Linked DNA regions of Xenopus tropicalis. The protein of the gene in region 1 interacts with the protein of each later gene in a pairwise test. Links are inferred from orthologs where the notes say so. Each region holds a gene or a part of one and is shown on either strand. Other genes may lie near its edges.

What was found.
Region 2: the proteins of polr3c (region 1) and polr3gl interact in binary tests that used the Homo sapiens proteins (3 or more experiments, as listed by UniProt). The link is inferred for Xenopus tropicalis from reciprocal best matches to the Homo sapiens genes POLR3C and POLR3GL.

Annotation. Positions count from the first base shown.
Region 1 is NC_030684.2:141,779,031-141,783,295, forward strand, and holds the start of polr3c (DNA-directed RNA polymerase III subunit RPC3), read left to right. Parts: upstream 1-1,281; 5' UTR 1,282-1,374; exon of another isoform or gene 1,375-1,400; intron 1,401-1,667; 5' UTR 1,668-1,680; coding exon 1,681-1,827; intron 1,828-1,907; coding exon 1,908-2,163; intron 2,164-3,301; coding exon 3,302-3,484; intron 3,485-3,595; coding exon 3,596-3,672; intron 3,673-3,758; coding exon 3,759-3,863; intron 3,864-4,179; coding exon 4,180-4,265. Other genes in the region: E3 ubiquitin-protein ligase RNF115, read right to left, coding at 842-919. UniProt on the Homo sapiens protein: DNA-dependent RNA polymerase catalyzes the transcription of DNA into RNA using the four ribonucleoside triphosphates as substrates.
Region 2 is NC_030684.2:128,432,524-128,436,340, forward strand, and holds part of polr3gl (DNA-directed RNA polymerase III subunit RPC7-like), read left to right. Parts: intron 1-1,056; 5' UTR 1,057-1,093; coding exon 1,094-1,213; intron 1,214-2,855; coding exon 2,856-2,985; intron 2,986-3,817. UniProt on the Homo sapiens protein: DNA-dependent RNA polymerase catalyzes the transcription of DNA into RNA using the four ribonucleoside triphosphates as substrates. Specific peripheric component of RNA polymerase III which synthesizes small RNAs, such as 5S rRNA and tRNAs.

The DNA.
Region 1 (4,265 bases):
ACATTTCCCTCTCGCCCCCAAGCCCCCCTACATTTCCCTCCCGCCCCCAAGCCCCCCTACATTTCCCTCCCACCCCCCTACATTTCCCTCCCGCCCCCAGGCCCCCCTACATTTCCCTCCCGCCCCCAGGCCCCCCTACATTTCCCTCCCGCCCCCAGGCCCCCCTACATTTCCCTCCCGCCCCCAGGCCCCCCTACATTTCCCTCCCGCCCCCAGGCCCCCCTACATTTCCCTCCCGCCCCCAGGCCCCCTACATTTCCCTCCCGCCCCCAAGCCCCCTACATTTCCCTCCCGCCCCCAAGCCCCCCTACATTCCCCTCCCACCCCCAAGCCCCCCTACATTCCCCTCCCACCCCCAAGCCCCCCTACATTCCCCTCCCACCCCCCTACATTTCCATCCCACCCCAAGCCCCCCCTATACTTTCCTCCCACCCCAGTACCCCTCCCCTGTCCCCTAGATTCTCCCCGCACCCCTCCCTTCGGCCTCCCTACATCCCCCATTAACCCAATTACTCCCCCCCCAAACATCTAACCTGTCCCCCACATTCCCTAACCCTGCCCCCCCCCGGGACCCCAAGCCCCTCTACCCCCCCCTCTCACCCCAGTGCCCCCGCACGTACCCCCCACTCTGTTCCCCACTCCCCCCGGGCCACACATCCAACCACTGTTTACATTGCACTCCCCCCCCCCCCCCCCCGGCCCCCAACATTCCCCTCCCCGCCACCATACCCCACCCCGGCCCATTTCGTTCCCCTCAGCCCAGCAGCCCCCCCCCCGGCCCCCCATATGCCTCCCCCACACACCCCCCAATTGGGCCCCGCACTCCCCCGCAGGGACTCACCGGCAGCTTGGGGTTGACCTCCCCCTTACAGTGATGGCAGAAGAACCGATGCTGAGACACCGCTGCCGCCTCCGCCATGATCCCTACCCGCTCTCCCCCAGCTCCGGCTGCTGCTGCTGGGAACCGCGTCACGTCAGTCCTCCCAGCACCGCCGACTCGCCTACACGAACGTCTCCTATCGTACGGCGGCGCTCTATCCCCTCCAACACCAGCGAGTCTTCCAATCAACCCCTCCCAATATCGGGGCTTGTGAGGCAAGAGTGACCCCGCACGGCGCTCTATCCCCTGCCAGCACCAGCGAGTCTTCCAATCAACCCCTCCCAATATCGGGGCTTGTGAGGCAAGAGTGACCCCGCACGGCGCTCTATCCCCTGCCAGCACCAGCGAGTCTTCCAATCAGCCTCCTCCACTGCCCCCTCAGCCCAAAAGGAGGTTCAAGAGAAGAACGGGGGGGGGTTACTAATACCGGAAGTTGCTATGTGGTAACCAAGGTGACGTTCGGACGGTGTCAGCTGACAGGAAGCGGAAGCCATGTGAGTGCTGTTGGTAGAATTCTGGTGTGAGTTTCACTCTAGGGCTGCATGGAGGCGCTGGCAGAGGATTGTGGGAGCTGAGAGTTGTAGTTCAGCCATAACTTATGATGGTGCCTTAGTTCTGACGGCTCAGACAATTGCTTCCCTACTGCCTGGGCCTCATTGGGCAGATGAGGGGCCTCAGCCCCTGTTGGGACATAAGCTTATAGTCATGTATATGTCTGGCAGTGGGATAGCAGCAGTGATAGTGCATTATAGGGTGTAGTACAACTATAACTATCCCTCTGTTTCAGCCGGTGCCGGGAGATGAGTGCGGTTGAGAGCAAGCTGTGCTCCCTGCTGCTGCAGGAACATTACGGGGAGATTGTGGACCGAGTGGGGACCTTTCTGATACGGACGGGCAACCAGCCGCTGAGAGTGATCGCCAACGAGACAGGGACGTCATTGGATCAGGCAAGTTTAACCCTCTCGCTCCCTGGGCACTGCCCCCAACTAGTCCCCGTCCCTTGATGGACTGTTTTTTCCTCCGACAGGTGAAGAAAGCCCTTTGTGTCCTGATACAGCACAACCTGGTGACCTACCAGCTGAACAAACGCGGCTTTGTCGAGTACAAGGCCCACGTCGACCGCTTCCTGCGCATACTGCGCTACCCGCGCTACATCTACACGGCAAAGACCTTGTACGGGGACACGGGGGAGCTGATTGTGGAGGAGCTGCTGCTCAATGGCAAAATGACACTAAGCGCCGCAGTAAAGAAAGTGGCCGACAGACTGACCGAGACCATGGAAGGTAATGACTGCCGCCTTGGGGTAGCCCTGTGGCAACCTTCTGGGATAGGCAGCCCAGCAACCTGATCATCCCTTCTGGCTGTCAGCTGCCCTGGTTTATATTGTGAGTGTCAGAAATCTAGGGGTGTGCATAGGGGACCCAGCCCCAAGGAGCTGACAGTCTAGTCTAGTGGTAGAATGGGAGCCCCTGTGACTAACCTAAAGAGCTTGCAATCTAGCCACTAGGGCTAAAGTCTAGTGATATAAAGGAAAGCCCTCTGGCGGTCCAAAGAAGCTTACAGTCTAGTTATAAAATGGCACACTCTGTCCCACATAGACTAATATCTATTGGTATAAGGAAATATTCATCTCCCAGGAGCTTACAGTCTAGTGGTAGAATGGGAACCCTTGTGATGGACATAAAAAGCTTACAATCTAACCACTGGGGCTAAAGTCTAGAAATATAATGGAAAGCCCTTTGACTGTCCCAAGAAGCTTACAGTCTAGCTATATAATGGAACACCCTGTCCCACATAGCCTAACATCTATTGGTATAAGGAAATATTCAGCCCCTAGGAGCTTACAGTCTATTGGTAGATTGGGAACTCTTGTGATGGACATCAAAAGCTTGCAATCTAGCCACTGGGGCTAAAGTCTAGTGATATAATGGAAAGCCCTTTGACTGTCTGAAGAAGCTTACAGTCTAGTTATATAATGGCACACCCTATCCCAAATACCCGAGCATCTATTGGTATAAGGAAATATTCAGCCCCTAGAAGCTTACAGTCTATTGGTAGAATGGGAGCCCCTGTGACTAACATAAAGAGCTTGCAATCTAGCCACTGGGGCTAAAGTCTAGTGATATAATGGAAAGCCCTTTGGCTGTCCAAAGAAGCTTACAGTCTAGTTATATAATGGCACACCCTGTCCCACATAGCATAAGATCTATTGGTAAATTGGTTAATATTTATTCAGCCCCTAGAAGCTTGCAGTCTAGTTCTATAGGGGGAAAGTCTGAAGCTGTCAGAAAGAGCTTACAATCTAGTCGCATAACTGGGAACTGTACCGCAAAGAATGTGTACTGTAGAGGAATAATAGGAACCTGCTCAATGCTTTAAGCCCATTAGCTAAGCCCTGTGTATTGTGTTCTCCCTGCGCAGACAGCAAGAGCATGGAGTACAGTGAGGTTTCTGCCACCTTTACCCACCTGGCAGATACACACTTTGTGCAGCGGTGCCCGACTGTGCAGGAGAAGGATGCCACGGAGGGCCGCCCACCACTTGCCCCAACCCTGCAGATGAATGAGAAGGAAATGTACATCGTCCCTAAGCTAAATATGACAGGTAAGTGCCCTTGTGGGGCAGCCGCTCTCCGATACTGCCCGGAGGTGTATACAATGTAGGAAGGGGTGCTACTGGATACCCCTTGTTATGCTGTGCCTATTGTTGCTCTAGGCAGGGGCAAACGCCGCAGATCATCTGATGATGACGATGGAGGCAGTCAGGCCAAGAGACCAAAAAAGGAAGCAGAGGTGGGTGTTCATCGTTCACCCCAATATGGCCCTGCATTCTTGTCTTGCCTGTAACTTACCCTTTCCTCCTTGGTCTCCCTGCCCAGGATAGCCAAGATGATGGCGTCTACTGGCAAGTCAACACGGAGCGGTTCCACCAGCACTTCCGGGACCAGGCTATTATCAGCGCTGTTTCCAATAAAATGGACCAGGTACCTTGTGGCAGAACCCCTTGAGGGGTATGTAGTTTAAGGGGCAGGTATAAACACCTAAATCAAGCAGGTCTTGTATAATGGGCACCAAATACAATCATTGGTTGCTATGGGTTGCTACAACTGGGCACACTTTGGGCCTTATGTTGCATTACCTTCGACCCTTCAGGAAGTAGCGGCAATGTACTACACTGATGCAACAGCAATAAAATGGTCGCTTCCAGTGACAGGCAGCATGGGTTAGAATGACCTAGTAGCTAAGGCTGATCTAAGGCCATCTTGCTTGTGTTTACTTCTTCATAATGGGCTTTTCCAGACCAGCAGTGAGATAGTCCGGACCATGCTGAGAATGAGCGAGGTCACCACTTCATCCAGTGCGGCATACACTCAGCCGCTGTCATC
Region 2 (3,817 bases), about 13 Mb from region 1:
TTGTACTTTTTTTATGTAAAATGCTGCAAGCATTGTTGGTGGTTTACTAAAAATTAGACATTGAAGGCAAACAACCCCTTTAAAGGGAACGTTAGCCCAAGTGATACCTTATATTACCAAAAGTATCTGGACACCTACCTGTCCATTATTTAATGAATTTAAACAAAACAAAAAAAGAAGTGGTCCTGCTGCTCCAGGTCCTTAGCTCAGGGAAGCCGACAGGCTATCATAACAAAGTAAAAATAGATGATGAGCACTAAAAGTTAAACCCAGTGTTGGATGACCACAAGTATCTGGACATCTACCTGTCCACTGTCTCTGTTAATTAAAACAAAACAAAACAGAAGGGCACCAAAGCACAAATCTATGTAGAAGACATACCAATTCAAGAAAGCAGTCTGGGTGCTACTGACCTTTAGCTCAGGGAAGCAGAAAGACCATAACAAAGCAAAAATAGGTGATGGGTAATCCAATTTATCCACAAAGGGCACAAAATAGTAGTCAAAATCTCTGTTTATAACATTATCTCTACAACCTTACACATATTGTGCCCAAAAACACACTTAATCATAGTTCCACATTATTTTAATGAAACCAAAAGTATAGTCCATCTTACCTGAAGAAACACAGGTATTTGGCCAGTTGCAGCCAAGAAAAGCAGATGTGGCAATGGGTCGCTGCCTTGCTGGGTTCCTTTTCCTTACTTGCCACCTCCCCTTGCTCCTGGATGAGTTTACTTCTGAGTTTATGACGACCACATTTTTGGTCTGATGATAAAGCTTCCAGTTTTATAGTGAGAAGTGGGTCCAAGTGGGTAGAAATACAAGTCTGTGGGTTTGGTGGAATAGCCCTTTGAGATCTTTAGCCAAGGGTATTAATATGAATATGTTATCTGTTATACCAACCCATATTCTTCTGGGAAGCCTTTTTACTGGATGGTGGAACATTGTTGGATTGCTATACACTACATGAAGGAAGTCATGAGATATATACAAAAACAAAATATACAACAACATATACAAAATGTCAGGTGATGTTGATATCTCTTATACCCAGGCTAGGTTATTCTACTGTTTCTTGGGCATAGCACAAGATGGCTGGAAAAGGCAGAGGTAGCGGTCGGGGCCAACTGACCTTTAATGTAGAAGCTGTTGGAATTACCAGAGGGGAAGCACTGCCGCCACCCACTCTCCAACCTCCCCCGTTGTTCCCGGTAAGTTAAGCTCTATACAGCTTTGGTATTAAAGGAAAAGTAACACTAAAAATTTTTAAGTAAAAAAATCTATTCTACCCTGCTCCAATAATTGCCCTATCCTGCACACCGTTTATTATTTTGAATGCTTTATTAGAAAATACCTGCTAAAACCTGGCTTCCGGTCATTTGAAATAAGGCGATGCAGAAGCAGAATTGATCGATCACAGCCTGACTCCTTTGATCGATCCTTGCCTGACTCCTTCCTATACAGAAGGAAGGCTAGGATTGATCGTCGCGTAGTGGATTCTGCTTCTACATCGCCGTATCGCCTTATTTCAAATGACCGGAAGCCGGGTTTTAGCAGAAATTTTCTAATAAAGCATTCAAAATAATAAATGGTGTGCAGGATAGGGCAATTATTGGAGCAGGGTAGAATAGATTTTTTACTTACTTTCCTTTAAAGTGTACATGCTATGTATAGAAATGTACCAAAATAGGCATGAGTGGGGAACATATTGTAACTAAACCACAACTCCCCATATTTTTGACTGCTGATATGTGTTATTGGAGTCAGCAGACTGAATTTCAGCAAGAAGCAGTGAACTACAGGCTCCTGATCCATATCTTAGCATTTTAGTATCTGTTTTCCCTGTCTGCCCATTGTGCACTGCCTTCTATTGCTTTCTGACTTTTTGCCTGTTGGGTGGCAGGATCAGGGTCTGCATTTTTCATTACAGTGCCCAGTTGCCCACCCCTGTGCCTGCCATCCACCTGTTTGCTACTATGGGCCCTTTACAAGTGAGATACATGTGGCCTTCCCTAAGGTATAATGGCCTTTTAGTTATACTGTTATGTTTATAGAATATACATAGGCTTATTTTTCATTTGTCATGGGTTTAAATGCTACTTACCTGGATAGTATTAGGTCTTTATTCATTTTTTTGTACTAATAGGTTTTATTATTTTTTCCTTACTTTCCTAACTTTTTTCACTTGAAAGAAAACCCAGCCATGCTGTGTGTCAGTAGTGCATTGCATACTCATGCTGGAATCAGACTGGACTTTACCTGTCAGTGACTGACAGTAGGGTGTGTTGTTTACAGCTGGGAAACATGTTAGGTTGCGGAACTCAAAAGAAATTCATGCAGCAACTCTATGTACAACAGTTTTGTTAAACATTCCCTGCAGTTTCTTTTTAAAGGACAAGGAATGGTTAAATTACTGGGGGGGGGGGGGCACTCCCTTCAGTGATTATAATGACTTACCTGATACTCTGGGCCGGTGGTCCATTTAGTATAAAACTGCTCTGCCCTGGGGTACTCTGAGCAAGCACCACAGAACAATCCTCTTCTTTCACTTCTTCATTCCTCAATCACCCAGGGTGCATGTGTGCATGTGTGTGAAAAAGCAAACTTGGCTTTTCACTTTACTGAAGTGAAGAAGAAACAAGATGTAGATAATGCAGTGGTGCTAGGTCTGAAGTACCCCAGGCTGCTGCAGTTTTCTGCTAACAGGAGCACCAGCGTGGGGTATCAGGTAAGTAATTATAATTACTGGGGGGTGCCTAACATTTGGCACCCCCTCTGTGATTTCATCTTTTCTTCTCCATTAAGAGCTATACACTGTGTATATCATCCTACTCTCTTTGTTGTTTTGTTCAGAACCTGGAATACAAACCAGTACCCCTGCAGACAGGGGAGGAGGTGGAATATATGCTGGCGTTGAAACAAGAACTCCGAGGAGCCATGAAGACTCTCCCGTACTTCATCAAGCCCGCTGCTCCCAAGAAAGGTGTGTTTAGCTTGGCTCTATTTGGTTGCCCTAAAAAGCACTATATCATTTATTGTTGCAAGGGCAAGTAAAGCAATAGAATCATATGGGCGTGTGGTTTTTAATGCAAATGCCTGATTTTTTACCAGCCCCCCATGCAGTTTTACTTAATCTCCCCGGTCTACTTCTCATGCATGTCTGTGACTCCCCAGGCACACTACCCCCAGTTATGTTATGTGCATGCCCATGTCGTCTCGCTCACTCTGGGAACTTGCACCCTAGGTTGCTTCACTTCACAGTTGCTCCCCATTGGTTAAGGTGAGGAGTTGGCGTAAACTGGCAGCACTTGAAAGCTGAACATGCTATCCTTAAACATGTAGGAAAATAGAAGGGTAAACAAGAACATGGCTAGCAATACATTTACATTAACTAACAATACAGTAAAATACCTTTGGTTCAGCAGCCCTATAACTGCAATGATCCATGCTTTCGAATTTGTATACAGCAACCTCCCATTCTTGGGGTCTTGTTAGGCCATCTTTTGAGTGTCAGTGGCACTGCACATGCTCAGTGTGCTGTTGGATACTGTAAAGAAGGAAACCTCAGGGGTCGTTGGAAATTATGCTGCAAAAATAAGGTTACATTTGTCATAGCTGATGCTACATGGCTGAATGCAGTGCAGAATGCACAGGTTTTTATGACACGGTCACTTTATGGTAATTTAAAGCAAAAAGCACTGGTCACGTTATTCATTATAGATATTTATCAGTTATAACACACATAGATTGTGATACCCACCGGCACTTTATTTCAATTTCAGAATGAGTGTTGTGATTAAGTTTATCGTAATTAT